Linked DNA regions of Struthio camelus. The main gene of each other region encodes a partner of the protein of the gene in region 4 in a complex. Links are inferred from orthologs where the notes say so. Each region holds a gene or a part of one and is shown on either strand. Other genes may lie near its edges. The genes, in order: WTAP, METTL3, CBLL1 and RBM15.

Region 1 (7,349 bases), on a different chromosome or scaffold from region 4:
AGGTGTACAGTGTCATCACATGTGCTGCAGTCTTGGAGACAAGTGTTGTAAATCTATTTGGCTCTGTAGATAGTAGAGTTGCACATGATTATACTATTGATTTTATATGCTCTCATGAGCACCTATGTATATTTATAAACAGTTATCGGTAATTAAAAGAGGAGTCTTTATGGGAGCTGTCTGAAGAAAATCTAGCTACCTCTCGCTTTAGAAATGGAACAAAAATGTGCAATAATTCCAGTAAGATGCTTAGAAATGTCTTGTCAGATGATGTAAAGAAAGCCTGCAGCCTACTAGTTAGAAAGCTTTTTTTTTTTTTTTTTGGAGAGCGAGAGTGCATTGAACTTAAAATTGGGCTTGTTGCTGTCCAGATTTTCACGTGGTAGTTACCCGAAGGATATCTCTGTCATTTTTTTCAGTACAGCAATCCATATATTTTATTTGCCCACCGCATCTGTAGGCTACAGCAGCCTTTTCCAGTGCCCTTGGAGCTCAGTTTCTGTTCCAGTTGCAAACCACTATTTTGCCTTCCTCCATCTTACATCCGTACAAGTCAAGGACTATCTTTTCAGAAGCTGATTAGCCTTTAGTTCCTTTTATTTTAAGATCTTTTAAAATGCTAACAAATGTTCATAACAGTACTCCAAACATTTTTTTCTTCTGAACAGTTTTTTATCTGACTTTATTTCTTACTAATATCCTAGCTTTTCTGATCTGCAGACTGTAGTTGTCATCTCTTACAATTTATTTTATGTGACTTTTATGCTATTAAATATTTGTCCTTAAAGCCCTGTTTCCCATGACATAGTATTTCATCCACATCTCAACTTTGAATCATGAAAATGCAGGGGAAAAATAGCCCTTATGATCCTGTAGAAAAGCTTGGAGGCCTGAAACAAATTTGTCTTTAAGGCTCACACAGCCTAAGACAGTAGAGAGTATTAAAATTCAGTGCGTTTGTATTTCAAACAGTTGTGTGATTTCTAATCTGGCTTGAGGGTTTAGAGATATAATGCATGAATTCTGGTTACTTCACGCTAGTGGTACTGTCTTGATCTTGCTTGGGTTGGGACCATCCTGTTGTAAAGCCGTCCGAGATAAGCAATGGCAAGAAAACTGTGCTGCCTGCAAAGCTCAGCAGCTCCTCCTCTGACTCCTTACAAAGCTTCATAGCCACAACACATACCAAGTGCTTCAGTTAAAACAGGGCTTCAGCTCTGCCAACTGTGTGTCAGCTGCTGGCTACCCAAAGAACTTGGGACATCCAGTAAGCACAGGAGAGGGCAGTATTAGTCCAAGTGAAGGCATGAAGAGGACAAACTATTAACAGAAAAAATAAGCCAAAATGTAATAAAGAGCATTTTTTCCGAGTTTAAAACTATTCTGTCACTGACATCTTTTTTTTTTTTTTTTTTTTTTTTTTTACATTTATGGAGTGTTTTAATGTTTTGTTCCAACTGGCTGTAACATGAAACAAGAAATCAAGAACAGAGCAGGTAAGAACCATTACAAGCCACAAGCCTTCCAGCAGGAAAATAATTAGGTTAGTGAACTACATGTTGTCTTTTGAAGAACCTAAAACCAGATGAGACAATATGAACAGATCTGAAACAAAACCAAAAACTCTATTGTTATTAGTATCTGCTGAGCAGGCCCTAGACTTGAAAACAGAGCTAGAAAAAGTGTGGAAAGTTATGGAGGAATACAGGGGTGTTACTCTAATGCCAAATGGCATTCTTGTCAATACAGTTTTCTTCTTTCTTTAATCCAATTTTATATCAAAGTCAAATGTAGAAGAGAGTCCGCAACAATAAAATACAATTCCTATGATCTCTTCTTAAACAATAGGAGATACAAATACAATATGCTTTGTGGAAGTACAGTGGTTATTTTCATCTTAAATGCATTTATTTCTCGTGTTTAATTTATGGAAAGCTGTATTGTCCAGGTGTTCATAATCTGGTTCATATTTCAACTTAGCAGTATATATATTTGTTGTGCTATTTTCTGAATTCTGTTTTTTCACTGGTTTTCGGACAGATATGCTTATTTGCCCTCTCATTTGTGGACAAGCAATGCTATTAAGAGCTGTGTTAGTACCTATTATTTGAAAAGGAAATTTATTCCGGTTATTATATTGTCACATAACCCAATGCAGGTGCTTATTAAGGTGTTTATTCTAGGAGCATTAAAATATACCAACTGAGACAGTTCTCATTGTGTTAGGTGCCGTGCAAGCAGAATAAGAGACTATTTCAGTGAAATGTGCTCTATCAGGGTACTAGTTAACAATTTGCTGTTTGTATTTTCTCACATAAAAATTTTAAGTATAGCTGATAATACACATGGTAATTCTAAGGGCTAGAAGGAAGGCCAGAATATAAAGCTCTACAGTCTGTATCCACTTATCTCTTGGTGTTTCTGGCTCTGTGCCGTTTGCTCAGCTAGTACGTTTCCCATAAATGTAATCTACACTTGTAAAACTAAATTTAAAATAACTAAGTGCTGACAAGGGAAAAGAATGCAGGATTATTTTCTACATGCTTATGACCTGGAAGAACAACAGGTACCAATGGTAAGTGTAAGGTCCGGTATCTCTTGACCCATCAGAGTTAGAACTTTACATATACTGTTAAAGATTAAAGACTGAAGAGAGATCCATTTTCCCAACATAACAAAAAAGTAGCTAAACTCTAGCCTTGGCAAATGTTGGGAGATCTTGTGTTCAATTTGTGATACCTAGAAAACATTAGGTAATTTATATACAGAATAGAAATGGCCTTAAGTACATCTCTGTATCTCTTTTGTATGTAAAAAAGTTTCCGTTTCTTGTCCTACTTGGCTTACGTGCATTTTAGTGTTGTAATGTTTACATTTGTGCATGAGCAAATAAAATCAATTTTCTACATTAATGTTCGCAGTAAGGACTATTCTGGTATATTGACACCTCTCCCATGCTGCTGTCTCTTGAGATGGCTTTATCTGTTAATTAGTGTCTTTAGTGCTTAAAAGAAGTACCTGCAAGGTGTCTGTGTACAAAAAAACAGTGAAAGGAGCAGTGAACCTCAAACTGTAATCACAGTGCGTATTTTTCACGTAAAAAAATAAGACTTCAGAGGAACGTACTCAAGCCCTTTTGATTTCACTCTCCTTGTGGTAATTAGTCACATCATTCTCTTTTTTTAATTTCAAGCGACAACAGTCAGGTCACTTAAAGCTTGGTCAGGGTGTTAATTTTTTTTTCAGCGAGAGCTTTTTTTTTTTTTTTAAATCTGTGCTGTGTGGATCTGCACCTCTGTACACTGGAATCTCTTGTGCAGTGAATATATTATTCTTGCTATCAGTAGCACAGTCAAGAAGACAGATTTCTGGAGTGTCTTCCACAGAAATTCAGTTGCAATCAATCACATCGTGCAACCCAGCTGACACTAATTTAGCCTACAGAAGCTTTATTACTTTGTTGGCAAGAAGGGAACACATCTAATTGTGCTAATAGCATTGCTTGAGAAATCATGGATAACAAGACAGAAATTCGATTTTAAAGTAGTTGTTCAGTGCTAGACTACAATTAAGGGCAATCAGTATGTTTCATTCTATTTTTTCCCCAAATGTTAAAGCTAAAGTTTAGCGTATTTGGAAACAGCTAGGATTTTTTTTCCCTCATTTGCTGACTGATGACGTTAATGTGCGCTTATGCCACTGAGGTGAATTTAACTGAGTGAAAATTTTCATTGCACAACGTGAAAGACAGGCAGAAAGCCGCGGAACTAATGCTGACAAGCAAGGTGCCCATCTTGCAGACTAACCACTGGCTGTGCCTGGCTGTGCGCAATCCTCGTTTTCAAAAGCCGCTGTCTTTTCAGCGTGTCTTCCAAGAAGGCGCCAAGCAGCGCTCCCACGGCGCCGCCCAGAAGGAGCAGCCCCGCGGCAGCAGCTCCCTGTCGGCCCTGGCGGACGCCCTGTTTCACGCGTGAGGCCGCGGGGAGGCGCTCGGTGCCGCTGCCCTCAGCCCTCGCGCCGGCAGGCGGCCGCTTCCCCCCGCCTGGCCCGCCCCCAGGATGCCCCGCGGCTCGCTACCCGCCGCGCGCCCGCCCCTCCCTTCTGCCCGTTTAACTGACAGGCTTTAAATCAACATTCAAATAAGGAGGGAAACCGCGGCGCGGGGACGGAAGGAGCATCTCAGTGCTGCCTGCCGCTGGGGAGAGAGCGGGGGACGAGCTCCCCAAAGGAGGCGCGGCGGCGGCCGGCAGAGCCGGACCGGGCGGCTCGGCCACCCCGCGGCCCGGGCCACTGCGGCGGCTCGCGCCGCGCGGGGCTGCGCGCGCAGCGCCGCCGCCTGAACGTGGGGGGCGGCCGGTGGGCGGGGCGGCTGGGCGCTCATTTCCTCCTTGGGCGCCATTTTGTAGCGCAGAGAATCCGCAAATAAAGAGCGGGCGGGAGCGGTACGTGAGGAAGCGCGGGGTGGGGGCACGCGGTGGTGACCCCGGCTCCGGAGCAGTGGTCCCGGTAGAGCCGGTTGCGGGCGCGCGCGCGGAGGTGGCGGCAGGTGTGAGGAGGTGGCGGCGCTTCGCCCCCGATGTGACGGGTGCGGCCCAGGCAACCAGTGTGCTGGGAGAGTGAGGCCTCCGCACCGCGGGCGGGAGGTGAGTGACCGCGCGAGCGCTCCTCCCCTCGGCCGGGCTCCCCCTTTCTCTGGTACCGCCGCCCTTCTCCCCCGCAGGAGGTAGCGGGGCCCTCGGCAGGGACCGAGCACCTCGCGGTCCCGGGGCGACCAACCCCGGCGGCTCCATCTCTCACCCCAAGTGGGGGGAGGAGCGGAAGCACTTAGAGCCATTTTGTGCGAGGCCGCGAGCCCGGCCTGGCTGCTCCGCTGAGATCCTCCTCCCCTAGCCTTCGGCTCCGCCACGCCCGGGCGCCGCCGCCGCCGCCGGGGCTCCCTCTGGGCGAGGGAGACGCGTTTTTTCTTTTTTTCCTTTTTTCTTTTTTTCCCCCCCTTCAGTTGAAGCTGAACGAGGACGGCCCGACGGGGCGGGTAGTGCCTGCCCTGCCAGAAGGGGGGAGGGGAAGGGGGTGGCAGGGTCTGTCAAACGTCTGTGACGAGCCGTGGGGTCAGTGGCCTGCAGCTGCGCCTGGCCGGGGACTGGCGGGGTCTCCGCGCAGGAGGCGGGGCTGCGCGGCAGCGGCCCGCCGTTGGGTTGGGAGGGGGTGCGGCCGCAGGACTCGGCTACGCGAGGCTCCTGACCGCGGTCGCTGAGGCTAGCGTGGAAACTTTCATAGGCCGGCATCTTACTCTGAACCTTTTTGTTTCGGGACACTTGAAGGCCTCGAGGGCTTTTCCCACGGTATGCTTTTTCATATCGTTGAAATAACTAGGAGTTACTTCAACTGTTGCTAGTAAAGCAGCACTTGAGTTATGTCTGGTATTACTTGATTGCCTTGTCTCTTAGCTCGTAGTGCTTGTTTTAATCTTTAAACTTTATGTTTTCTAAATGTTGTAGTAAAAGTTGCACAGAAAACTACAGTTTCTGAAATTAAAACGCACTTTCCCTGTTTCAGCCCTTTCATAGTTCAATTACTTTAGAGATTACAGGAGAATTCTTTTAGTGTCTATGATGGCCCCTTTTTAAGGGTGAAACACAGGTTTATATTGCTTATTGCCAGGAACGGATGTAGAAGTTGTGGAGTTTAACAGGTATCACTGCTCTGAAATCCTGAAAGTGCCTACTGAGGATAGCACAGGCTAAATTATTCATTGTATTAATTGAGAAGTGTAATCATGATAATTCCAGTCAGAAAATGGCAGTTCATCCTATTCTTGCAAAATATTACTGAACTGCTTAGCACAAGGGTCATCTGTCTTTCAGAGTAGGCACGTGGTGAGATGCATCTCTTGCTGCACAGCACTCCACATTACTCTATTAGACTCAATGAATGAATGTTTGAGTTGTAATAATATTGTTAATGTCTGTTGCATAACTTATCTGGTAAGCACAGAAAGAACTGAAGCAAATCACTGTGACAGCTAAGTGATACAGTAAGCCTGATGTTCTGATGCTTCCAAAAACACTGAGCACAGTGATAGAAATACAACCTATAGCAATAATGAACTCTTAAGCTGTTTGTAAGTTACTGTGGGTGCCAAAAAAAAAGCTGTTGCGTAGGAGTCATGAGGTGAAACTTGCACATACAAAAAGAACATGATCACTTAGCTGTCATAGTAAGAAGTTCAGATGTGATAAACCTAGGTTTCCAAAATAATACCTTACTAAAAATTTTCAGGGTATTTTTTAGTGAACAATTCTAGTCCTACAAGTGAAAGCAGGTGACAGTAAAACAATAACTTATGTAATGCAGTGGACTTTTTATCTTCAGCATGTGCATTAAAGGATTTTATCAGATAGCAGGGAGATGGCTTTGTTTTGTAAGTGGGAACGTGTTGGGCCTAGAGGTTAGAAGGGTAGTCTGGTTTGGTGCTGCCATGAGAAAACTGGTTGTGGGAGTCTTATGCTAGGTCTGGAGACGGGCAATAAGGATGGAGCATCAGCTTTTAATTTCTTTCGGTTGCTGTTGCAGTGGCACTCAAGTGTTTAGTTTGCTGTATACTGCTGAAGGGTTCACAAGCCAAGTCTTTGGAAAATTCATCTTTTTTGATACCTGTGTGTTCCTACTGTTTTTCTGACACATGATAATATCTGTTAGGTATGATTTAATCTAAGTGTATTTCCATGGGACATTTGAAAGGCAGATCTCTCTGTTAAGGACTTGAATCCTGCTGAAATCTTCAAAACTCCTTCCAAATACTGAAGGAGTTAAGTGTCTGAAAATCTTTAAGAAAATTGTAATGGGGAAGTAGGCCATTAAATTTAGGGGGCTGTGAGCATTTCCCCATATGATCTTAGTCATCCAAAATATCAGTTTAACTTGAGTTGAGCATCATTGGTTTGTATCGATAGTCTCTAATACATTTCATATTGCATTTAGTAAAAGTATAAAAGTCTTAAGTGGGAAGCTGCATCCAGAAGTTAAAGTTCTCTCATGTGTGAGAGAGTTGATGGTGGGGGGCCCTAGACCTCTTAGAGTAGAGAATCACTGAAGTGCCTGTGTGTTATGAAGATTAGGAACAGGAAGCTGACATTGGTCATAGATGCCTGTATTGAGTGTTATTAGCAACTTTTCTGTTCGTTCTAATGTCCCCCTTTACTTTATGAAGGGCTTGGAAGCCATTTCACCTGTGCACTGTAGGTGTTTAGTTGTTATTGTAGTTTTATTTGGTATAGTGCTATATACTGAATGTTAATATAGGTTGAAGGAGCTGTTGTTCACTTGGTATGCATTTATCTTTTTGACAG
Region 2 (7,724 bases), on a different chromosome or scaffold from region 4:
TCCCTCCATCTGCATATCCATCCATCCCTCTGTCCCCATGTCTGTCCATCCGTCCATGTGTCCATCCATCCGTCCCTCCATCTCCGTGTCCATCCATCCCTTCATCCCCGTGTCCATCCATCCCTCTGTCCCCATGTCCGTCCATCCGTCCCTCCATCCCCGTGTCCATCCATCCCTCTGTCCCCGTGTCTGTCCATCCATCCCCGTGTCCGTCCATCCATCCCTCCATCCCTGTGTCCATCCATCCCTCCATCCCCGTGTCCGTCCATCCATCCATGTGTCCGTCCATCCGTCCATGTGTCCGTCCATCCATCCCTCCATCCCCCGTCCGTCCATCCCTCTGTCCCCATGTCCATCCATCCGTCCATGTGTCCGTCCATCCGTCCCTCCATCCCCGTGTCCGTCCTTCCATCCATGTGTCCGTCCATCCGTCCCTCCGTCCCCACATCTGTCCCTCCTCCCCTCCGTCTCCGGGTCTCTCCGTCCGTCCATCCATCCGTGTCTGTGTCCTTGCCCACCCCATGGTGCATCCATCCATCCATCCATCCGTCCATCCATCCGTGTCTGTGTCCTTGCCCACCCCATGGTGCATCCATCCATCCATCCATCCATCCATCCATCCATCCATCCGGGGCAGGAAAACCCTCCCCTGATCCCCCTCTGTGGGGCCAGTGCATTTCGGGGTGGGACGGCGCCAAATCCCGGCCCCTCTCGCCCTGCAGGTTCCCCGGCCGCCACCGCCGCTCCTTCCTCCTCCTCCTCCTCCTCGGAGCCGCCGCCGATGGACGCGGAGCCGCCGCCGCCGCCGCTGGACATCCCGCTGCTGCTGGAGGAGCTGCGGGTGCTGCAGCAGCGGCAGCTCCACCAGCTGCAGCTCACGGAGGAGATCTGCCGCCAAGTCCTGCTGTTGGGCGCCCCGGCCCCACCTCGGGCCACCCCGACCCTCTTCGCCGCCGCCAAAACCCAACCGCCGCGGGCCCCGGCGTCCGGCCCCCCACCTAAACCCACCTTCTTCCACCTCTACCGCCCGTGGGGGGCCAAAGCCGAAGCGGCCGCCTTCCCGGCGCCGCCGCCGCCGCCGCCGGCCTTCCCGGGTTTGTTGCGTCCCAAGAACGAGGCGGAGGAGAAGCCGGGCGGGCGGCACCGGTGCCGCTTCTGCGCCAAGGCCTTCGGCAGCGACAGCGCCCTGCAGATCCACCTGCGCTCCCACACCGGCGAGCGGCCCTACAAGTGCAACGTCTGCGGCAACCGCTTCACCACCCGCGGCAACCTCAAGGTGCACTTCCACCGCCACCGCGACCGCTACCCCCACGTCCAGATGAACCCCCACCCCGTGCCCGAGCATCTCGACTACCTCCTGGCCGGACCTCGCTGCCCGCCGCCGGAGAAGAGCGAAGCCGGCGAGAAGCCGCCGCCGGTGCCACCACCGGTGCCGCCACCGGTGCCGCCGCCACCACCGGTGGTGGCCACCGAGGGCCTCCCGCTGCTGCCCCAACCCTTGCCGGGCTTCAACAAGCTGGTGCTGCTGAAGGCGGCCGAGGAGAAGGCCAAGGGGGACGAAAACACGCCGCCGGGCAAGCTGCCCGCCTGGGCCGTCTTGGCCAACCACTTCAAGGGCGGCCACCACCACCACCACCACCACCACCACCACCACCACCACGCCGCCGCCTTCCCCTTCCTCCTGGAGCCGCCGGCCCCCTCCGAGACCTCCAAGCTGCAGCAGCTGGTGGAGAAGATCGACCCAACAGAGACGCCGGGGACGGCGGCAGCGGCCGCCCCGCCGCCGCCACCGCCGCCACCGCCGCCGCCGCCGCCGCCGTCCTCTTCCAACCAGTGCCCCGTGTGCCGCCGGGTGCTGAGCTGCCCCCGGGCGCTGCGGCTGCACGCAGGGCAGCACGCCAGCGGCGCCAGCGCCGAGCGCCCTTTCCGCTGCCAGGCCTGCGGCCGGGCTTTCTCCACCCGCGGCAACTTGCGGGCTCATTCGGCCGCCCACCGAGCCAGCCCCACCGCCGCCGCCGCCGCTCGGCCCCGAACCTCCTGCCCCATCTGCCAGAAGAAGTTGGCCGACGGCCCGGGCCTCCAGCACCACGTCCGCCTGCACCTGGGCGGGCAGGTGGCCAACGGTGGCCCGCCGCCCGCCCGCCGGCCCCACGAGTCCTCCGAGGACGAGGAGGAGGAGGAGGACGACGACGACGACGACGAAGACGAGGAGGAGGACGCCTCTGAGGAGGACGCCTCCGAGGAGGATGACTCCGAGAAGGCCCCAGCCGAGGAGGAGGAGGACGAGGAGGACGAGGAGGAGGAGGTGGTGGTGGAAGAGGAGGAGGATGAGGAGGAGGATGAGGAAGGCGGCGCTCCTCGCCGCCCGGCCGGCAGCCCTGCGCCGCCGGCCTCGGAGGGAGCCGGCGAGCCCCAGGTGGAGGAAGGTGGAGCGCGCCGAGGGGACGACGCGCAGCCGGAGGAGCCGCGGGCCAGCCCGGCCGAGGACGGCGCTCCTGACGGGGCCGCGCCGAAGAAGCAGGGGCAGGTAAGGTCCCTAGGGACGCTCCCAGTCCCTCCGTAGGGATGCTGGTGCTCCCTAGGGACGTTCCCAGGCCCTAAGGACACTCCTGGTCCCTCTGTAGGGATGCTGGTGCTCCCTAGGGACACTTCTGGTCCATAGGAACGTTCCTGGTCCCTTCATAGGGATGCTGGTGGTCCCTAAGGACGTTCCTGGTCCATAGGGACGCTCATGGTCCCTCCCTAGGGATGCTGGTGGTCCATAGGGACATTCCCCATCCATAGGGACGCTCATGGTCCCTCCCTAGGGATGCTGGTGGTCCATAGGGACCTTCCCGGTCCATAGGGATGTTCCCAGTCCATGGGGACGTTCCCGGTCCCTGGGGACACTCATCCCTAGGGATGCTGGTGGTCCATGGGGACCTTCCCAGTCCATAGGGATGTTCCCAGTCCATGGGGATGTTCCCGGTCCCTGGGGACGCTCATCCCTAGGGATGCTGGTGGTCCATGGGGACCTTCCCGGTCCATAGGGATGTTCCCAGTCCATGGGGACGTTCCCGGTCCCTGGGGACACTCATCCCTAGGGATGCTGGTGGTCCATGGGGACCTTCCTGGTCCATAGGGATGGTCCCAGACCATGGGGACTTTCCTAGTCCCTAAGGATGTTCCCGGTCCATAGGAATGCCCATGGTCCCTCTCTAGGGATGCTGGTGGTCCATGGGGACCTTCCCGGTCCATGGGAACACTCATGGTCCCTCTCTAGGGATGCTCCTGGTCCATAGAGACATTCCTGGTCCATGGGGACGCTCATGGTCCCTCTCTAGGGACGCTGGTGGTCCATGGGGACGTTCCTAGTCCATGGGGACACTCATGGTCCCTCTCTAGGGACGTTCCTGGTCCATAGAGACGTTCCTGGTCCATGGGGACGCTCATGGTCCCTCTCTAGGGACGCTGGTGGTCCATGGGGATGTTCTCGGTCCATGGGAACACTCATGGTCCCTCTCTAGGGACGCTGGTGGTCCATGGGGACGTTCCTGGTCCATGGGGACGCTCGTGGTCCCTCTCTAGGGACGTTCCTGGTCCATGGGGACATTCCCGGTCCATGGGGACGCTCATGGTCCCTCTCTAGGGACACTGGTGGTCCATGGGGACGTTCTCGGTCCACGGGGACGTTCCCAGTCCGACGGGGACGTTCGGGACGCCGCTTCTTCCCCCCAACCACCTCCTCCCTCGCCTCCTTGCTCTTCCCCCCCCAACCCCCACCGCCCCCCCAACAGGTGCCGCCATGCTGGAGCGGCGGCCCGGCGGCCCGCGCCCCCCGCCCCGCGCCGGGCCCCCAACCGCCGCCGACGCCGCCGAGCCGTGGGGCCGGCAAACCGCCGGAGCTGCCCCCACCGCCACCACCGCCGCCGCCGCCGCCGCCGCCGGCCCTCTCCTTCTGGAGCCAGTACGGCGCCTTCGCGGCCGCCGGCCGCCCCCGACCCGGCCCCCCGGCCCCCGCCGACCCCCCGGCGGCTTCGGGGCAAGGCCCGGCCGAGAAGTAGCGCCTCGACGGGTCCCTTTTTATCTTTTAATCCTAGTTTCGCCTCGACTGTAGCGCACAGGGCGCCCCCTTCGCCTCCCCTCGCCGCCATCTTGACCCCCCTCCTCCGTCTTCCTCCTTTCCCCCAACCCCAGCGTAGCCTCCTCCATTAAAGCCCTTCACGGTGACTCGTCTCCGCTTCTTGTTTTGGGAGGGAGGAGGCGGCGTCGTATTTTGGGGAGGAAAATGGGTTATTTTGGGGGGTGGGGGGGGTTCTCCCGCCTCTCCCCCCCCCCAACAACGCCCTCTGCCAGGGCGTAAGATGGCGGCCCCGCCCGCAACAAAGATGGCCGCGCGCCGTTGCCAGGGCGCCGCCCGCCGCTAAGATGGCCGCGCGCGCCCGCGGCCAAGATGGCGCGCGCGGCTTCGCCGTGAGGGCGGCGCCGCCCGTTGCTAGGACACCGTCCCCCCTCCTCCCTCCTCCCGCGCGGCGTTCTGCTGGCCGCCGTGCCCGCAGCCAAGATGGCGCGCGCGGCTTCGCCGTGAGGGCGGCGCCGCCCGTTGCTAGGACACCGTCCCCCCCCCTCCCTCCTCCCGCGCGGCGTTCTGCTGGCCGCCGTGCCCGCAGCCAAGATGGCGCGCGCGGCTTCAGGGCGCGGCCTAGCGGGCGCCGCTCCGCCCCGCTTCCGGTTCGGCGGCGGCGGCGGCGGGGCCGGGAGCGGGGCCGGGGCCGGGGCCGGGAGCGGAGCCGCAGCCGCAGCCGCCAGCGCCATGTCGGACACGTGGAGCTCGATCCAGGCGCACAAGAAGCAGCTGGACTCGCTGCGGGAGCGGCTCCAGCGGCGGCGGAAGCAGGACCCGCTCGGTGCGGGGCGGGGGGGGGCGCCGGGAGGGGGTCAGAGGGCGTCGGGAGGGGTCAGGGGGCGTCGGGAGGGGTCAAGGGGCATCGCGAGGGGGTCAAGGGGCATCGGGAGGGGTCAAGGGGTGCCAGGAGGGGTCAGGGGGCGTCGGGAGGGGATCAGAGGGCACCAGGAGGGGGTCCAGGGGCACCAGGAGGGGTCAAGGGGTGTTGGGAAGGGTCAAGGGGTGTTGGGAAGGGTCAAGGGGCGTCAGGAGGGGGTCAGAGGGCACCAGGAGGGGGTCAGGGGGCGTCGGGAGGGGTCAAGGGGCGTCGGGAGGGGTCAGAGGGCGTCGGGAGGGGTCAGGGTGCATCGGGAGGGGTCAGGGTGCATCGGGAGGGGGTCAAGGGGCATCGGGAGGGGTCAGAGGGCGTCGGGAGGGGGTCAGGGGGCGTCGGGAGGGGTCAGGGGGCGTCGGGAGGGGTCAGGGGGTGTCGGGAGGGGGTCCAGGGGCACCAGGAGGGGTCGGGGGCGTCGGGAGGGGTCAGAGGGCGTCGGGAGGGGGTCCAGGGGCACCAGGAGGGGGTCCAGGGGCACCAGGAGGGGTCAAGGAGTGTTGGGAAGGGTCAAGGGGCATCAGGAGGGGGTCAGAGGGTGCCGGGAGGGGGTCAGAGGGCACCAGGAGGGGGTCAGGGGGCATCAGGAGGGGTCAAGGGGCGTCGGGAGGGGGTCAGAGGGTGCCGGGAGGGGGTCAGAGGGTACCAGGAGGGGGTCAGGGGGCGTCGGGAGGGGATCAGAGGGCACCAGGAGGGGGTCCAGGGGCACCAGGAGGGGGTCAGGGGGCATCAGGAGGGGTCAAGGGGTGTTGGGAAGGGTCAAGGGGCGTCAGGAGGGGGTCAGAGGGCACCAGGAGGGGGTCAGGGGGCGTCGGGAGGGGTCAAGGGGCGTCGGGAGGGGTCAGAGGGCGTCGGGAGGGGTCAGGGTGCATCGGGAGGGGTCAGGGTGCATCGGGAGGGGGTCAAGGGGCATCGGGAGGGGTCAAGGGGCGTCGGGAGGGGGTCAGGGGGCGTCGGGAGGGGTCAGGGGGCGTCGGGAGGGGGTCCAGGGACACCAGGAGGGGTCGGGGGCGTCGGGAGGGGTCAGAGGGCGTCGGGAGGGGGTCCAGGGGCACCAGGAGGGGGTCCAGGGGCACCAGGAGGGGTCAAGGAGTGTTGGGAAGGGTCAAGGGGCATCAGGAGGGGGTCAGAGGGTGCCGGGAGGGGGTCAGAGGGCACCAGGAGGGGGTCAGGGGGCGTCGGGAGGGGGTCAGGGGGCGTCGGGAGGGGGTCCAGGGGCACCAGGAGGGGTCAGGGGGCGTCGGGAGGGGTCAGGGGGCGTCAGGAGGGGGTCCAGGGGCACCAGGAGGGGGTCCAGGGGCACCAGGAGGGGTCAAGGAGTGTTGGGAAGGGTCAAGGGGCATCAGGAGGGGGTCAGAGGGTGCTGGGAGGGGGTCAGAGGGCACCAGGAGGGGGTCAGGGGGCATCAGGAGGGGTCAGGGGGCGTCGGGAGGGGGTCAGGGGGCATCAGGAGGGGTCAGGGGGCGTCGGGAGGGGGTCAGGGGGCGTCGGGAGGGGGTCAGGGGGCGTCGGGAGGGGTCCAGGGGCGTCGGGAGGGGTCAGAGGGCGTCGGGAGGGGGTCAGGGGGCGTCGGGAGGGGTCAAGGGGCATCAGGAGGGGGTCAGAGGGCATCAGGAGGGGGTCAGAGGGCATCGGGAGGGGGTCAAGGGGCACCAGGAGGAGGTCAGGGGGTGTCGGGAGGGGTCAGAGGGTGCCAGGAGGGGGTCAGAGGGCATCGGGAGGGGTCAGAGGGCATCGGGAGGGGGTCAGAGGGCATCGGGAGGGGGTCAGAGGGCATCGGGAGGTGGTCAAGGGGCATCGGGAGGGGTCAGGGGCACCAGGAGGAGGTCAGGGGGTGTCGGGAGGGGTCAGAGGGCATCGGGAGGGGGTCCAGGGGCACCAGGAGGAGGTCAGGGGGTGTCGGGAGGGGTCAGAGGGCATCGGGAGGGGGTCAAGGGGCGTCAGGAGGGGGTCAAGGGACGTCAGGAGGGGTCAGAGGGTGCCAGGGCGGTGGAGGGGGGGGTGGGAGGAGGAGGAAGGAGCCTCGTCCCTCCGATCCCGACCCCCCTCGGCCCCCAGACCCCCGTCACCCGGAGCTGGCGCTGGCCCCTCCGTCCCGCAGCGCCAGCCCGGCCCCCGTCGCCCCCGCGGCGGCGGCGGCCGGAGGTGTCGGAGGAGCGGCCGGCGGAGGAGGAGGAGGAGCAGGAGCGGCGGCCGGCGGCGGCGGAGCGGCCGAGCTGACCACCGACCCGGCGCTGGAGCGGCGGCTGCTGCGGCACCTGGCCGACCTGGCGCTGCCGCTGCCCACCGACGCGCTGGCCATCTGCCGCGCCATCGCCACGGTACGGCCGCCTCCTCCTCCTCCGGCCCCCTTGCCGGATTTCCCGCCGCCGCCGCCGCTCTCAACGCCCGCTCTGTCTCGCCCCGCAGCCCGACGCGCCGGCCGCGCAGCGCAGCGTGGAGAGCCTGCTGCAGAAATTCGCCGCCCAGGAGCTCATCGAGGTGCGCCGCGGGCTGCTGCACGAGGAAGCCGCTCAACCCACCCTCGTCACCTACGCCGACCACGCCAAGCTCTCGGCCATGACCGGCGCCGTGGCCGAACGCAAGCGGCGGCCCCAAGCCGACGCCGCCGACGGCTCCGCCGCCCCCGCCGCCCCCGCCGCCGAAACCGGCAAGGAACCGGCTAAGAAGTGGCGCAAGCAGGCCTCCGACGTCGACCGGGAGATCGAGAGCTTGCTCAGCCAGCAGTCCACCAAGGAGCAGCAGAGC
Region 3 (7,869 bases), on a different chromosome or scaffold from region 4:
GATGCTTACAGTACACAGTAATATCTTTGCTAAATTAAAAATTAGCACTCCCTCCTATACAGAATTCTCTTTAACCAGTTTTAAATCTGAGTACCAGGGCAAAGGAAGAAAGCAACAGTTCAACACACACGTGTAGATATGGGCCTGAATGCATAATCTAGGAGTCAGTACTGTAACAGGCAACACTCAGACAACATGAAGGGGTACAATTCACACACCTTCCCAACTTTCAGTAAGTCTACCTTAACCCACTATATAGCATCTCATTTATACAAACATAAAAGATGTCTCACAAATTGACACATCACGCTATTCTATCAATGTACATGCCCATCAGCTCTTTGTAATAAAAAATAAAACTTCTATAAAATCATTACTAGACTCATATTTATAAGCCTTTAACTCAACATCCATTACAGGATAGACAGACATGCAAGACCATGAGCAGGAACACAGCAGCTAAACTTATGTTTTCAAACACAAGCAATCAAAAATTTCATTAGGAACTCTCTTGCATGTCTTGGCATTTTGGAGGGCTGGGTTTTGGGTTTGTCCCCCTTGCAAAATATTTCCAGTGCAAGTCCTGTCCATGTTTGTAGCTGGAAAGATAGGGACACAAATATTTAACATCCTTGTCACTTCTGGTCTGTCAAGAGAGGGGTTAGCATCAGCTGGTAATGTTTAAAAGTGGGACCTTCTCAGCCCCCAAGGAGAGTGCCACAAGCTATTATAGAGTGAGCCCTACTGTTCAACCTCAGATACGGCACTACAGCTCTGGCATGACTACTGCGGCTCCAAAGCATTGCAACAGGGAAGCATCTGGACACTGGAATTAGGTCCAGGGAGTGTAACACTGCACAATACCTCACATAAACAACTACTGTCCCTCAAAGCTTATAATCTCCATATACAACACAACAAGAAGAAGGAGAAACAGAAAAAAAAAGGTTAATGAGGACTTGCTCAAAGTCATTCAGCAGCTAATATCAAAACTAGGAACTGAGACAAGTTGCAAGTTGGGACTGCGCCCTAGCAGTTACTTTACCTCAAAATCAAGAACGCCAATTTTCTTTGGGTCAAGTCTATTTATTTCTTAGTACTGTGGTTGACACGTTTCAATCTAAAAGGCAAAATGTAAAAATAGCAAAGGCAATAAAGCTTGCTTTTACTTTTGTTAATTTGGGGGAGTTTAGGCCATCCTGTTGGCTAAACAGATGATCCAGCAAACATGCAACTCAAATACAAGGCTTACCCAGAGGCAGTTAGACTAGAACATCAGAGACAATAATGCTAGAGCTGTTGACGTTCCATGAGCTGGAAGTTCTGTTTTCTGTTACAAAAGTTCTGAGACTAATCACTAGTCCTCTAACAGAAAACCTAAGGCAAACAGTGCTACTGGGGCAGAATGAGAGGAAACAATCTTGAATTGAACACACAAAGGCACTACACTAGAGACCAAAAAGGTCTCTGCAGGACTTCAATTCTTTTACAAATGGGAACAATTAAAATAAGTTTTAAAAACAGAAATTTTTTTACCTCATTTAGTCCACTGAACCAAAAACAGGAGAAAATGGAGTTCTGATACTTCTCTTCCATATACCTTTGCAAGCTAGGAATATTTACGTGACTTAGTTGCTCAACTAATCCAAACGAACAAGTGTATTAGTCATTCCTATTTCATAGGAGAACGATAACCTCAAGTTCGTGTAAGCATAACTAGCAGGAATAAGTCAAGAAAAAAATATGAAAAACGTAGCAAAGTTGTTTAGACTATTTGAGAAGATACGATGAAAAGTGAGACACTCTCTTAAGTTGTCGTCTCCATCAGCTTCTCTGAAGCTTTTTTTTGTACTCTAAGCTTTTGTTTTTTAATTTATAAATATAGTTGGAATACTATACTATATGTGCTTATAGCGCAGTCATTCCTAAAGGAAAAAAAAAAGTCATCTACTTATGTATTCATTAGATTACGCCAGCATACCAACGAGCAAAACATCAACGCTACAAGAACAAATTTCACGCGCGACATAAGAAAACGCCCGAGAATCTCCGGAGCGCGATCCGGGAAGCAGAAAAGACATCATCGGCACCGATCTCGGGAAACGAGCGCCTCTTTCCCACCTCCCGAGCGCCACGGGCCGCCTCCACCTGCTGCAAGCCCGCAGGCTCCGGCCACACGGCCCGCTGGCGCCCGGCGGCCGCCGCGCTCAAGCCCGAGGCTGCGCCGAGGCCGCCGCCGCTCGCCGGCCGGGGCCGTGGCCAGCGCCCCCGCCTCCCCTGGCCACGGGGCGCCGCCGAGGCGGCCGTTGGGCCGCTCGCGCGCGCGGGTTGGGGGGGGGGGGGTCAGGGCAGCCCCGCGCGCGCCGCAGGACCGTTGGAGGGCGCGAGACCGCGGCGGCGGCGGGCGCGGAAGGGAACGACCAGGCCCCGCCGCGCGGGCCGCGGCGAACGGCGGCGAACCTCAGGCCCCGCCCGCGTTACCGGGCGCCGGGCCGCGTCCCCACCACCCTCGCACCGCCCCCAGCCCGGCGGCCCCGACCGCGGCCGCTCGCCGCCCGCCGGCGCGGAGCGGGCCCGGTCGGGGACGGGTATAAATGGGTCTCCCGGCCTCTCCCCTCCTCACCATTGTGGTCCATGATTCGGCGCGGGGCACTGTGGGAGCGGAAGGGTGGGGCCGGAAGCGGAAGTTGCCGGGAGGCGGGCGTGAAAAAGGGCGCTCTAGGGATAAGTCCGCGGCGCAGCGCTCGGCGCGTCTCTGCGGAGCGACTGCGAGACACCGAGGGCGCGGCGGAGCCGGCGGCGAAGCGGCGGGGGTCTGGCGAAGCGGCGCCGAGCCGTAACTGGCGCCTCTCTTTCCCAGCAGGCACCGCGAGAAGGCGGTGGGGGAGCGCCGTGCTGCCGCAGCGCCCGCTGGGATAGCGGCTGGCGGCCTGCTGCCTCGAGGTTCTCCCCCCACACCTTGGTAGGGCTGCGCATGCGCCATGGGGTGCCTGCGGGGATGGCGGCGGGTTGGCGGAGAGGGGCCTGGCCGCCCTGCGCGGGGCTTTCCCGGGGCGGCGCGGCCCTCGCCCGGCTCCGGCCGCGGCCCTGGCGCTGCCCGGGGCGGCGGGGAGGTTCCGTGCGGTCCGCTCAGGCGCCGCGCTCTGCCGGCGGGCGGCTCGGCCTGCGCTGCGCGCCGCCCTGGGCCCCCCTGAGGCCGCAGCTCGCTGCCCTGCGCGGGCTTCCAAAGGCCCTGGAAACACGGACGTGAACGTGCGCCTTCGTGGAGGAGGGGGAAACAGCACGGAGGAGGCCGGGCTTTGTGCGCGGGGGCTGCGGCCGCCCTGCCTGCGGGCGGCGCGGCGGCATGCCGCGCCTGCTGCCCGTTTCTGAAGAAGCTGGGCGAGTCGCCGGGCTTGAAGCCACGTTGGGCTCTGTCAGCTGCTGATGAGCTGCCTTAAGTCTTACCAGAGACGGGACAAATTCCTTGCGCTCAGAGCAATCCCGTAGTCAGGATTACTTAAAAACCAACCAGACAAACAAAACAGTTAGTGACTTAAGGGAGCAGCAAACTCCAGTGCATCCTAAAGCTTGATAGCACTAGAGCTCTGTGACTGTTCTGATATTTTCATAAACTTAGCTTTTTGTGACTTCTGACCAGTTAAGGGGGAGACTGTCTATAGAACAGGTTTATAGCACTGAAGAAAGGAGAGGAATATAAAAATAACTAAATCATAGTCTATAGGGCTTAAAGGGATCGTAAAGCTTAAGTCTCTTAACCCTTCCAGAGTTGTAAGGTGGGGACAGCTCTACTTCAGACACTTAAAACTGATGACTGCTTGTCTTGCTGAATCTCCAGGGTTGTGACTTTGTGTCCATGCAGACAGCTCTTCTCATTACCTTAAAATTAGCCTTACCATTAAAAAGCTGTGATTTAAGCCTACTGTATCTTCTCTTATCCCCAGAAGGTACAGAGACTTTGCTGGTTGTCTAAAATAAGTGGCAGATGTAAGGGAAATGAGAAACCTATCCCTACATAATACACTTTATTTCACCATAATATGAATTCACAAAAAGAACAGTTTTTAAAAACAGAACAGATGCATGGAGAAACTTTTCAGTATGCACAACTTTATTTTCTAGTTAATGGACATAATGACTTTTAAAATGTAGCCTTTTTAAAAGGGTAAAAAACAAATACGTCTCCAATTTAATATTTGACGTGCAAAGATGGTAGTAATCACAAGTGCAGATAAAAATATCACTTCTGCATTCAGCTGAAAAAGATAATCACATATATCTTGTGCATTACTTATGGATGTCTGAATTAGTACAAAATTGTACAGAATTTCAGCTTCATTACAAAACCTATTATTTTGGTATTCTTCATTTTGATGGATATGTAGATAAGAGTGTTAAAAGGCACGTATTCCCTGCCTCACTGAAAAAGGCATCTGAATGCCTTCTGCATGTTGCTCTTTATTGTTTTGGGCAAGTGTAAGCTTTATATGAAATGCTATTATTCAGGAAAGGTGAATATTTTTTAATAATAAAGTTAAGAAATGCAACCTTGCCTTGAAGAAATATGCAGGCCAAAAATAAGTGCGTTGCATTGTATTTTATTACAACTAATTCCAGCTAAAATGTCATATTTGTAAAGAAAGCTAGAAGACTGTTGAAAATATATATATATGTATTTTTTCTAAATACCTATATGGGCAAGAACTAGAGAAGGTTCGAAAATAATCTGTGCCCACATTTTTGTCAAGTAAGAATCTGTGCTCAAACTTCACAGTGCAGATGTTCTCTCAAGGACAAAACATTCACTGCTATCTTTCTAATATCACTTTTTTCTGCGGTGTTTGTTCTGCCTAAAAATAGCAGAAAGCTCCTTTACCAGTCCCAAGCAGAATGTTTCCTTTTGCTTTTTACATAAAATGTACATCCACTTTAGAGGAACAATACATCCTCTGAGAAACATGCTACTGGCCTTATCCTTCATTCACGTGCATTGGCAGCAGTGGCTTGTATGCAGGATAATATAAACTGAGGCCATGGCCTAATATGAAAGGTTTGTCAGTAATGTTGGCAGAAGCACCAACCTCCTGAGTTATGCTGGCAAATGGAGGGGGAGAGAATGAAGATAGGAAGTGTTTGCTATTATTTCCTAAAAGCCTGAAGTGTCAAATCACAGCCTGAGCCTAAGCATTAGTGTAAGTTTAATCAATGCTTCCATCTTAGGAGGTGCAGGTCGGTCTGATTTGGCTCTTAAACACATACCTAACTCTCAGCTTGTGGAGAAGCCTGTCTGACGTAAGAATTGCTCGTTCCTAACTCTAAGCGCAGGCCTGCGTTTTTGCTGGTTTGAACTAGAACATCAATATCATGTAGGATCAAACCTTTACTGCATTTGAAATGAGAAACTTTGCCGAGTGCCATGAAGGCTGAAGTTTTTGTCTTATTTAGAGAATGAAGACGACAGTCTTTGGTGCAGTTTCCCATTGTGGAAGGATCCTGGTCAACTGACTGAAGTTTATAGGAATTTTTTTCACTGATTTTGAAAGAGTTCACTCCGGTCCTTAGAGAAGAATAACTTACCTAGTGCTCGGCTTTTCACCTGAGATTTTTCCATTAACATCACCTGCAGTAACATAACAGTCTTCTCTGTGCAGTGTGATACAAGAAAATTTGTCTGACATACTTGAATAAAGAGACTTAAATATGTGAACGTACTAAAGCTAATTGGCCCACATGGTGAAGCTTAAAGGGGTTTTAGAGTCTGTATTTCTTAAGCTTTTGGTATTACATATTCCCTCACCACACAGGTTTTTCTCCATTTTAAAAATTAAGATAGTGCTAAAATATTTAAGGTAGCAGTCTGTTTTCCATTGAAACCAGTTTCTTCATGATGAAGTTAAGATCATTGATTTCTTGCATATGTATTTTATATAGTCCTAAAATCAAGGATTAAAATTTTGCAGTTTGAATCCTGTGTCTTGTGTAAATTATTGCACTTGAGCATTATGGACTGTCAAATGTCTATATGTTTCCTGTAGAAGAACAGCAGCTGTTTGATGTAGTATATTAAAAAATATATATGCTATATAAAAAAATAGCTATTCCTTAAACTAACTAAACTCCTACAATTCATTAAAAAACCTTATACTAGCTCACATTCTGACTTATATTCTGTAGCAGCCCATTCTACAAATTTCATTACGTATTTGTGGAATAAGGTTTTCGTTAATCTATGTCATGATCTGCCTCTCGATCAGCTATAGATACATAACCTAGCCAAAATAATCTTATGCGTATACTTGATTTTTTTGATTTTTTTATACTTGTTAATTTTTCATTAACAGGAGTGCATGATTTACTACAATGGGATGAATGCAGAACTAATGAACCACTATCCGAGGGCCTTTTCTATTGAAATTTATCCTAATTATTGTTTTATAGTAGTGCAGCACACAGTTTTGTGTTTGTGTGACTTTGTCACTTGTCCTGTGTTTCATTTATCTAACAACCTGCAGCAATTCAAGGAATTGCTTGGAAAGAACTATTGAGGTGCATTTTTCAAGAGTTTTGTCAGCAAGTGTGGTCACCTTAACGTTCTAGGACTGCAAAGCCTTGGCCAGCTAGAACTCCTGTCCTCTTGCTAGGCGTTGTACAAATACATAACAGGAGGTCTCCGATCAAAACATTTGAGTCTCTTCAACTCCCCTGGGCTAGGTTAACACAAAGCAGCTTTTCTTCCTGAACACACTGAAGTGACGGTGTGATGCACCTTCCCCCTGACTAGTTCCAAAACTGATTAAGTCTTTTGTAATAGATTTTTTTTTATCAACGTATCAGGTCAGAACTTGCTCACTGAATCAGTCTGGAGTATTTCAGGGATAATGGTAGTCAAATGTGGAGATTTCTAGAGATCTGCATCATTCAGACAAGGAATCAGGGTTTTCTTCAAGTGCAAAGATTGGTTTCATTGCAGAAAATGTTTTTATAATACCGGTGCATAAATATTGCTGTGAGTTCACAGGTATGACAGTACCAGCAGTTCTTCATGAAGCGAGTCTGCGCATAGCCTATTGACAAGTTTTTCAAAAGGTGGAGAGAAAGGGACAATGGTTAGTGCTGAGTACAAATCACTTGGAAAAATAAAATATTTATGTACAAGTTACCAACCTGGCCTCAATGAAAGTACAAATAAAGTAACTGTAAAAGGTCTCTTCGAAACAGCCCCCCTCTAACTGGAGCCTACATCAGACACTTCGGTCAGGAATTTGCAGATCTGAAAGGTACTAGCTCTTGCCTTCAAAAAAACTGGCCATAAAGGTGGAGGATGGAAACCTCTCAGAACGGTTTGACCTTGGACTGGTGGTTTTGTGCCAGCATTCTTTTCCTTATTTTTCTGTAATGTAAATAACTAAGCTCTCTTGGGAATCGGAATCAGAAGCCAGGGCTTTTGGCCTGCTTATCTTCATAGCTTTGTGAATCCTTCACTCCTTTCTGCCCAGTGGCTTCCAGAGGAGTGGAAAGTGCTTCTCCCCACAATAACCTGTTGCTTAGAGTACTCACCAGAGAAGTGGAAGAAGTGTGTTTGTCTCGTGTGTGCTAAAAAGTAATATTTGGATCTCTTGCAATATTCATACCAAACAAAAAAAGGAGGGGTTGAAATCAGGAGTGCCAAATATCACAATCTATTGAACGAGCCCTGATGAAGTTTAAGAGGCTTTTGCTTTGGTCTTAAGTTTTTCCTCTCACTGCTCTGACTCCCAGGCCAATCTGACCTCCCTGGTCAGGTTTTCCTAGGAGATGTCACGCAGTGGAAGAAAACACAACACAAGGTGATGCTGACAACCTCTACCCAGCCACAACTTCCTCTTACCT
Region 4 (7,527 bases):
GGAGTAGGCAGGGTTGGGTACAGAACACAAGGGCCTTAGGATGCCCCACGGACAATGATCATGACCAGATAGTCGTCCTCTGATTTGGCCAGCGCCTTGGCCGTGGAGTCCAGGAATTGCTGGGAGAAGTCGCAGGGTGGAAAGGCGTGCAGGACCCCGCTGTTCTCCTTGTCTTTGTTGCCCCCCACAGGGAGGCTGATCACCCCAGCAGCCTGCTTTTGCTTTAGATAGGACACCAGATTCCTGAGCGGCCTCTGGGTGGAGGTGGTGGCAGCCTCGCTAGCTCCAGATGAGGAGCGGTTGTCTGATGTGCCAGGCACAGCCAAAAGGATGGCATACCCATTGGGACCTGCCACCTTGATGCGACGAGTGACCTCGTCTAGCTTGGGCTGGTCCAGACGAAGACGTTGTGTGATCTTGAGCTGACCTACTTTACCCCCAGTTGCTCCCTCCACGAGGAGACTGCTGGCAACGCTGAGGTCCCCCTGAAGCAGGTGCATATTGGACGGGAAGTTGCTGTTCTTCAGCAGAAGCATCCCCTGCCAAGCCAAGCACAACTTGGGGGCTCCCCCGGCCTGCGACGTTCCATCCTGCTGCTGCTTCTGAGGCGGAGGTTTGAGCCGCGACCCTCCACCGCCTCCTTCCGTAGCGCGTTCATCCTTTTTGGCTGGACTTTTGCACTCCTGCGCAGCAGCTGCTGCAGAAGCGCGATGCTTCCGCTCTCTTTCAGCGGAATTCTTGCGGTCGCGTTTTTCATTCTGGCCTCGCTCTAGGCTTCCCCTGCGCGATTCCCGGATAGGCGAGGGCCGCTCCAACAGGAGCAAACGGGAGGAAGAGCGTTCTGGGTCACTACTATAGCGCTCCCGCCCTCCGACAAGCTCAGGGCTGCGGTCTGGGGGAGAGGTTGTGGCTAAACAGTGACGCTTTCGGGACGAAGAAGAGCGCTCACTGTCCGGAGAACGGTCCAAGTGCCGGCCTCCATCCTCCGCCAGTCTCCGTTTCCTAGGCTGATCCCTACTGCTAGTGCCCAACTCCCTCTCCCCCCGGTCCCGCTCCAAGGACCAACCATCCCGACGGCGATCTAGGCTTTCCAGTGGGTCATAGGCAGCTGCCCGATTACTCCTATCCCGCACAGGGGGTGGCGGAGGCACCCACTCTGTCTCAGAATAAAGGTCTCTGTCGCGGTCTCTATAAAGCAACGGTGGTGTCCTGTCCCGAGCCCCCCGAAGAGGATCTGGCGGGGCCCCCCGGTGAGCCCCAAATGCAGCAGCCTCTGCCACTAGCTCATAATGAGCAGGAGGTGGCAACGGCAGAGGCTGCAGGTAGGGCTGCTGGTACCGATGCTCAGTGTCAGCAAAGTCTACGCGGAGTCGGCGATCCGGCCCACCCAAGGGAAAGCCACGCATATGGGTGCACGCTGCCTGTGCCGCGTCCAAGCTCTCATACTGGATATAGGCCCACGAATCCCCTTTGCGGTAATCAATAGTGCGAATGGTGCCAAAACGGTCAAATTCCCTGGCCAGGGCAGCAAGGGGCACCCAGGGCCCAAGGCCGCCCACCCAGAGCCTGGTAGTTGGAGTGGCTTTACCATACCCAATCTTGATGGGGTTGCGTAGAAGCACCTTTCCTGACATGGCCAACTTGGCCCGGTGCGCCATGTCCAGATTTTCAAATTTAAGAAAACCGTATGTGCTGGTCTGCCCACGGCCTGGCCTTTTGATGTCCACCTCAGTGATGACCCCAAAACGGTCAAAGGCTCGGCGTAAATCAGACTCGCTCACGGTGATGTCCAGGTTGCCCAGAAACAACGTGCGGTTGGCTCTCTGGTCGTCCTCGGGGCTGATCTCCTCCTCACCGGCTGCTCCGGCACCCCCTCCTCCTCCGCGGAAGCCCCCGGCAGCCGCCACACCGGCCACGCGCTCCAGCCCATAGGCCGGCCGCACTCGCGCTTCGTAGAAACCTCCGTAGTCCCTCTCCCTCTCCAATTCCCTGGGCAGAGGGGGCGGAGGCGGCAAGCGGCCCAGGGCGAGCTGCTGCAGCCGGTAGTCTCGATAACCCAGGGCTCCTCCGCTACTGGCGGGCGACAAGGCCCGCTGCGTTGCCCCAGCCGGGGGGTGCCGCACAGCGGCGGCTGCCGCGGCCGCCACTCCCACGGCCGTCGTGCCGTAGGGGGACTCCTTGTCCAGCAGCGCCGGGGAGCGGCTGCTGCGCCGCCGGCTGCTCCCTCCGCCACCCCCGACGTAGACAGCCTCGATTTTGAGCGGGCGGTCGTAGAGGACGAGGCGGCCGCGGGCGTGTTTGGCGGCGCGGGCATCCTCGGGCCGGCGGAAGTTGACGAAGGCCACGCGCTCGTCGGGGGCCCCGGTGCCCGGCGGGAGGCGGCTGATTTTGACGCTCACGTCGCCGAAGCGCTTGAACTCGTGGAAGAGCCCGTCCTCCACCGCCTCGTCGCTCAGCGCCGAGCCCAGCTCGCTGATCTTCAGCGTCTTGTACTCCCCGCCGGCACCCGGCTCGGAGGAGGAGGAGGAGGAGGACGGGGCCGCCGCCGGCACCCGGGACTCACCCCCGCCGCCGCGGCTGCTGCTGCTCCGCGATGGCTCCGCCGCTTTGCTGCTGCTGCTGTAGCCGTGCCGGCTGCCCCCGCCGCCGCCCGCCGCCGCCGCCCCGGCCTCGTACTCGCGGCTGCCGGCGCGGCCGGCCTTGTCCGGGTGCGGGCCGCGCCGGCTGCTCCCGCTGTTGCTCTCGGTGGAGGCCGCCGCCGCCGCCGCTTTCCCGCCGCTGCCGTTGGAGCCGCCGGAGCCGCTCGGCTTCTTGCCGCTCCGCTCGCCCCGCGCCGACGAGGAGGAGGACGCCGAGTCCTCGCCGCCGCCGCCGCCCCGCGACCGCTTGGCTTTAGCCGGCGAGCGCTCCTTGCCCTTCATGGCGGCCGGCCCCGCGGCGCCCCCCGCCCGGCCCTGCTCCCCGCCGCCGGCCTCACTGACTGACTGACCCGCCGCGCTCACGCACCCGCCGCCATCTTGGAAGCCGCCGCGGCTACGAGCCCCGCCCCCCCGGCGCCCATTGGCCGCTTAACGCGGGCCCGCCGCCCTCGTTGGCCGGCGCGCGCGTCACCCCCACCCCCCGCCCCCTCCGCGCGCGGCGGGCGCTCGCGCTGCCAGGGCTGGCTGGCGGAAGACCCGCCCGTTCCCCCCTCTGTGCCCATTCCGATTGGCCGAGCGAGCTGTCTTTCTCCGGGCCGGCCTCGCGCGCTGCGGGAGGAGGGCGCGGAAGGAGCCGCCCCGCTCGCACTTCTTCCCGCCCCGTTTGCTTAGTGGACGGTTAGAACGAGAACGGCCTTCTCATTGGTCGGGCTGCCATGTCAATCATAACCGTTCCACGGTAGGGGACCGCCCCCGCTCTTTGGCCATTGGGCTAGCTCAACTCGTCTTTCCGATTGGCTCGCCGGCCTGCCACTTGCAACGGTCCTGGCTGTGGCCCCTCCTCGCCGCTTCCCATTGGTTCGCTGGCTGAGACGCGGGCTCCCATCGTCCCTCTCAAATTCTCGCGAGCTGTATTAACCCCGCCCTCTGTCCTCATTGGCCACTGGTAACCTTTCCTTTGCTGCTCTGATAGGCTGAAGCCTATGCCTCTCCCGAAGAAGCGCGGGCTGCTACCCAAGCTTCACCCTTCGTTTATGATTGGGCGAGAAAATCTCCCCAGGCATCTGATTGGGTGCAGCCGCGTAGCTTGCGGATAGGGTAAGGAAGCGGTCAGTCACGCTTGCTCTGACTCTGATTGGTTGCAGCGAGGGAGGGGGTGGTTCCCCAGGAGCGTTCGCCGTGCGGCTGCTGGGGCGAGCTCAGAGCGCGCCGGGCCGGGGCGCGCGGTGGGGGGAGGGGCGCTGGTCTCTTCTGCTTTCCTCAGGCCGGGCGGTGCGTCAACGGCTGGGGCGCGGGGGCCAAAAGGAAAGCACAAAAAGAAAGAAAAGCCGGACCAGCCAGTATTCCCACATTTACAATTTTTCTGTCACAGAAGACGTTATTTATATTAAGGGAATTCCAGTCACCGTCCAACCGAAGCGGCTCTAACCCCGCTGACCGGGCTCCCGCTCGCTGCGTGACACCGCGTGGGCCTGGACACCTCCCGCTCCCGCCCGAGCCTCCCCTTGGCCTCTGCGTCGGAAATAAAGACTCAGATTCCCCGGGGGGAGAAAGGCGTAGGGCGGCGGGCCCTGCCGCCCCCAAGGGAAGAGCTACCCCTGCCTCCCGCTGGCCCTGCGGCCGCCCGCCCCCCAACCCGAAGTTCGCACCCCCTCCGCAGCCCCGCGGCGTTTCGATTCCTTTCTTTTGGCTGCCCTCAAAATGCTCGGTTTGGAAATTCGGAAACGTCCGAGAAAAACGCAAACCTGCAAGCGCGCTCGGAAGAACTTGGTTTAACCCGGCACTGCTACGGCCCCCCCGAGCCACGTTTACTGTCTGAAAAGTCCCCGCATCTCCGTGTCACCCGTGGAAACAAGAGAGCTCCCCAGGAGCAGCTTAATCCAACAGAAGGGGAATTGAATCTGATTTTTTAATAGCAGGCCATTAGACTGCATTTCTCCCTGTCATATCATCGCTTTCTGACAGAGATGGTACACAGCAGTTCCTGAAACCGTGGGTGGGTTTTAAATGGTGGGTAAATAGCTGCTCTCTAAATATAGACCGAGGAATGAGAAAAATTGTGTTTGAAATATATGTCGGGCTCCTGAAAATGAGATTCTCCCATGCAACGACAGGGAGTTAACCTAACATGCGTATCCGAGACGGGCCTGCTTGGCTCATGTGGATATAATTATCCTGAAAGTATATGGAAGACAGATACAATTATGTGGCTGCGGATCACCCAGATAACAGCGATCCGAAGGAATGCCAAAGAGGCCTAGAGTCACAGGCGCAGAGCGGTACCGGGTGTCTTAGAAACACAGCATCATCCACGACTCTGCCAAACGGGCTTATTGCAACCACTGCTCGTGTCTGATTCAAGCTGCTTTCCTGGGAAGACACAACCGAGTGAAAGTGCTCTGGCGGGGTTTCTTTTTCCCTCCCCTTAGAAAAAAATAAAATGCTATTCCATCTGGGTGTTAACATTTTGCAGCAACGTCTCAGTTCCAATGCCAGGGCTGTCGGAGAGGTTGCTGGAGCTCAGGGTGGGATCAGTTTAGAAGGGCGACCTGGCCGCAACCTGCTTCGGGGAGCAGAAGCTCCCAGTTAAAACAACCAAAAAAAAAAAATCCCACCACGTCGGTGTGCATCAGATGCATCCACAGCCAGTGCAAATACCCCTCGCAGCCAGCTCTCCCTCTGGGTTTCCTGTGGTTTCCGTCGGAGAATCACAGAGGCACCAAGGAGCCTCGCTCCTTGGCCAGCCTTTTTTGGAGGCGAGATGAAAACGGGAGGAAACCTACCTTACCTTATTTCAGCTTCATCTTTGAGGTTACATCTGGTAAAAACTGGAACCGTTCCACTGGCTTGAGAGGAAAAGCGTCACGTTAAACAGTTAATGATAAAGACTTGTAACTCCCCAGACTCTGCCAAGGTCCTAACCACTTCCTTGTGGTGCCTCAGTTTGTGTGTGAAACACAGAAATTAAAATTCCTCGGCTGATGACTCATAGTTTAAAAGACACCTTGGGTGAGCAATAGGACACATCACCAAAGGGACATCTGTCTGTCATTTAATCTGATTTCAGCCCTTCTTCCAATCTGCTCCTTCAAAGGGGGGAATCTTCTCCTGGATTCTTCCGCCGCTGCGTCAGCCGCGGTCAGAGATAGATCTCTGCAACAGGCAACTGGTCACTGACAGTTCGGCAGGACTGAGGCATTTCAGAGCGGGTTTTGGCACTGGAGAAAGGAAACGCAGCACCTGAAAAGAGCCCTGGAAAAGAGCACGTTTTGTCAGGCCATGAGAAAGAATACAGCGTGAGCAGGAATCTCCCCCCAGGCCCAGACTAGATAAAGAGTACTGTCTGTGTTTATATATGTGTATAAATAATTAAGGTGCCAGATGGCCCTTGAGCCCATGGCCTAGATATAAGCATCTAATTACATTTGGTGTCAATGGGAGTTGGGCATGCAAGTACCTTTGAGGACTTGGCCTGATCCTGGGTAATACTTGCATGTTGCAGAACCAAAGAAACTTGCCGTTTTCTGCAAAAGCCTTTCTCTAGCAGTTTAACTATATGTCTCCTTTTCAAAGTCTGGATTGAGAAGATCTTAGAGGAACAGGTCAACTTGACCTAGGAGGAGAGGCAAAGAGGGCTCCTTGCCTCGATCCCAAACCAGCTCCGAGTGCCACTGATTGACACTGGCAAAAGACTTGTGAGCGCCTCAACCGGGGAGGTGTTTGTTTGGCCTCCGCAGTTTGGTATTCAAGCAGGCTAACTTTCTTCCTGGAGGAGCACTTGCGTCCCAGCTGGCCATTAGAGACATCAAAATACATTAGCTTCACTTAGGCGAGGCCACAAGAGCGCTCCAGGGACGCGAGCTGCCGGCTCAGAAGTGAGCTGTCTTGCACTCTGACCTGAACGCTGCGCAGGGGAGGCGAAAGCTTCCCCTGGTTAGTCACTGCAATTCTCGCAGCGATCTCTGCAATGGCCCGGATCTAGCACTCGCAAGCAGAAAAAGCTGGAGAACATCCACCCTGCGGGATCCTGGTGAGGTTTGGCAGCGATCCGCAAGGCAGCTCCCAGCACCTCGAGGAAAGCAGGGAGGGAGCCGGTTTCTTTCTGCAGCTGAGCAAGAGGTGGCTGGGACGTGCCGGCACTCTCACCGGGAGGCAGTGTCAGAGGACTGGGTTGAATTCAAGAGTCCTCAGCCAGTCTGGTCTCCTGGATCAGCTCTTCTCCTATTACACTCACATGGTGACAGTCCCTCTAGACATGCAGTGTCAACCACCAGGAATTTCTCTGGGTTTTATCCCTCGCTTGTCCTGGAGGGGTCAGGCACGAACTGGTCCCGCTGCCTGTTTGTTCTTCTGGGTACCAGGAGCACATCCCTGTGCAGATCAGGGATCAGCGTCCTTGCGCTTCACACCGAGGTCAATCAGGAGTGACTCTGCTTGAGTTAACCGGTAGCTAAAGCCAGGCTCCCTTCCTCCCTGCTCACGCTCAGTTCAGCACCATCCCAAAGGCTCTAGGGATGACTTTTGCAGCAGTTCCCCAGGCAAGGCGGTCCCTTCACCCCTTCCCTCCCACATACCTTTTTTGCGAGCATCCTTGTCAGCATCCCACTCTGCCAGCACCACCTGGGTCCCCCAGCAGAGGATCTCAGACCGTCGGAGGTGGCTGCCTCCCTTCCCCTCCCTCCACCCCCGGACTCCCCAGTCTCCTGCTCCCAGGACCTCATCGCAGCCCCAATCTCAGGCTGCAGCCTGTCCCGGGGCTAACCCCTCTCCTACCCCAGCAGGGTCAGGCAGGCAGCCCCCAGGCCCAAGCCCCGTTGCCGGCAGAGGGCAGCGGCAGCCCACTAATTGCTGGGGCCTGATCCGGCCCCTCCACCTGCAGCCCTGGCCA

The links.
Region 1: RBM15 (region 4) and WTAP share a complex: the UniProt entries of both Homo sapiens proteins name them as parts of the WMM complex. The link is inferred for Struthio camelus from reciprocal best matches to the Homo sapiens genes RBM15 and WTAP.
Region 2: RBM15 (region 4) and METTL3 share a complex: the UniProt entries of both Homo sapiens proteins name them as parts of the WMM complex. The link is inferred for Struthio camelus from reciprocal best matches to the Homo sapiens genes RBM15 and METTL3.
Region 3: RBM15 (region 4) and CBLL1 share a complex: the UniProt entries of both Homo sapiens proteins name them as parts of the WMM complex. The link is inferred for Struthio camelus from reciprocal best matches to the Homo sapiens genes RBM15 and CBLL1.

What each region holds. Positions count from the first base shown.
Region 1 is NC_090944.1:85,123,614-85,130,962, reverse strand, and holds the start of WTAP (pre-mRNA-splicing regulator WTAP), read left to right. Parts: upstream 1-4,342; 5' UTR 4,343-4,643; intron 4,644-5,167; exon of another isoform or gene 5,168-5,342; intron 5,343-7,349. UniProt on the Homo sapiens protein: Associated component of the WMM complex, a complex that mediates N6-methyladenosine (m6A) methylation of RNAs, a modification that plays a role in the efficiency of mRNA splicing and RNA processing.
Region 2 is NC_090970.1:84,336-92,059, reverse strand, and holds the start of METTL3 (N6-adenosine-methyltransferase catalytic subunit), read left to right. Parts: upstream 1-4,722; 5' UTR 4,723-4,792; coding exon 4,793-4,886; intron 4,887-7,034; coding exon 7,035-7,297; intron 7,298-7,385; coding exon 7,386-7,724. Other genes in the region: SALL2 (sal-like protein 2), read left to right, coding at 723-2,527, 3,777-4,043. UniProt on the Homo sapiens protein: The METTL3-METTL14 heterodimer forms a N6-methyltransferase complex that methylates adenosine residues at the N(6) position of some RNAs and regulates various processes such as the circadian clock, differentiation of embryonic and hematopoietic stem cells, cortical neurogenesis, response to DNA damage, differentiation of T-cells and primary miRNA processing.
Region 3 is NC_090942.1:16,396,010-16,403,878, reverse strand, and holds the start of CBLL1 (E3 ubiquitin-protein ligase Hakai), read right to left. Parts: upstream 3,002-7,869; 5' UTR 2,637-3,001; coding exon 2,624-2,636; intron 1,927-2,623; exon of another isoform or gene 1,537-1,926; intron 1,121-1,536; exon of another isoform or gene 1,046-1,120; intron 1-1,045. Other genes in the region: SLC26A4 (pendrin), read right to left, coding at 7,041-7,064. UniProt on the Homo sapiens protein: E3 ubiquitin-protein ligase that mediates ubiquitination of several tyrosine-phosphorylated Src substrates, including CDH1, CTTN and DOK1. Targets CDH1 for endocytosis and degradation.
Region 4 is NC_090965.1:4,446,757-4,454,283, reverse strand, and holds the start of RBM15 (RNA-binding protein 15), read right to left. Parts: upstream 3,006-7,527; 5' UTR 2,922-3,005; coding exon 36-2,921; 3' UTR 1-35. UniProt on the Homo sapiens protein: RNA-binding protein that acts as a key regulator of N6-methyladenosine (m6A) methylation of RNAs, thereby regulating different processes, such as hematopoietic cell homeostasis, alternative splicing of mRNAs and X chromosome inactivation mediated by Xist RNA.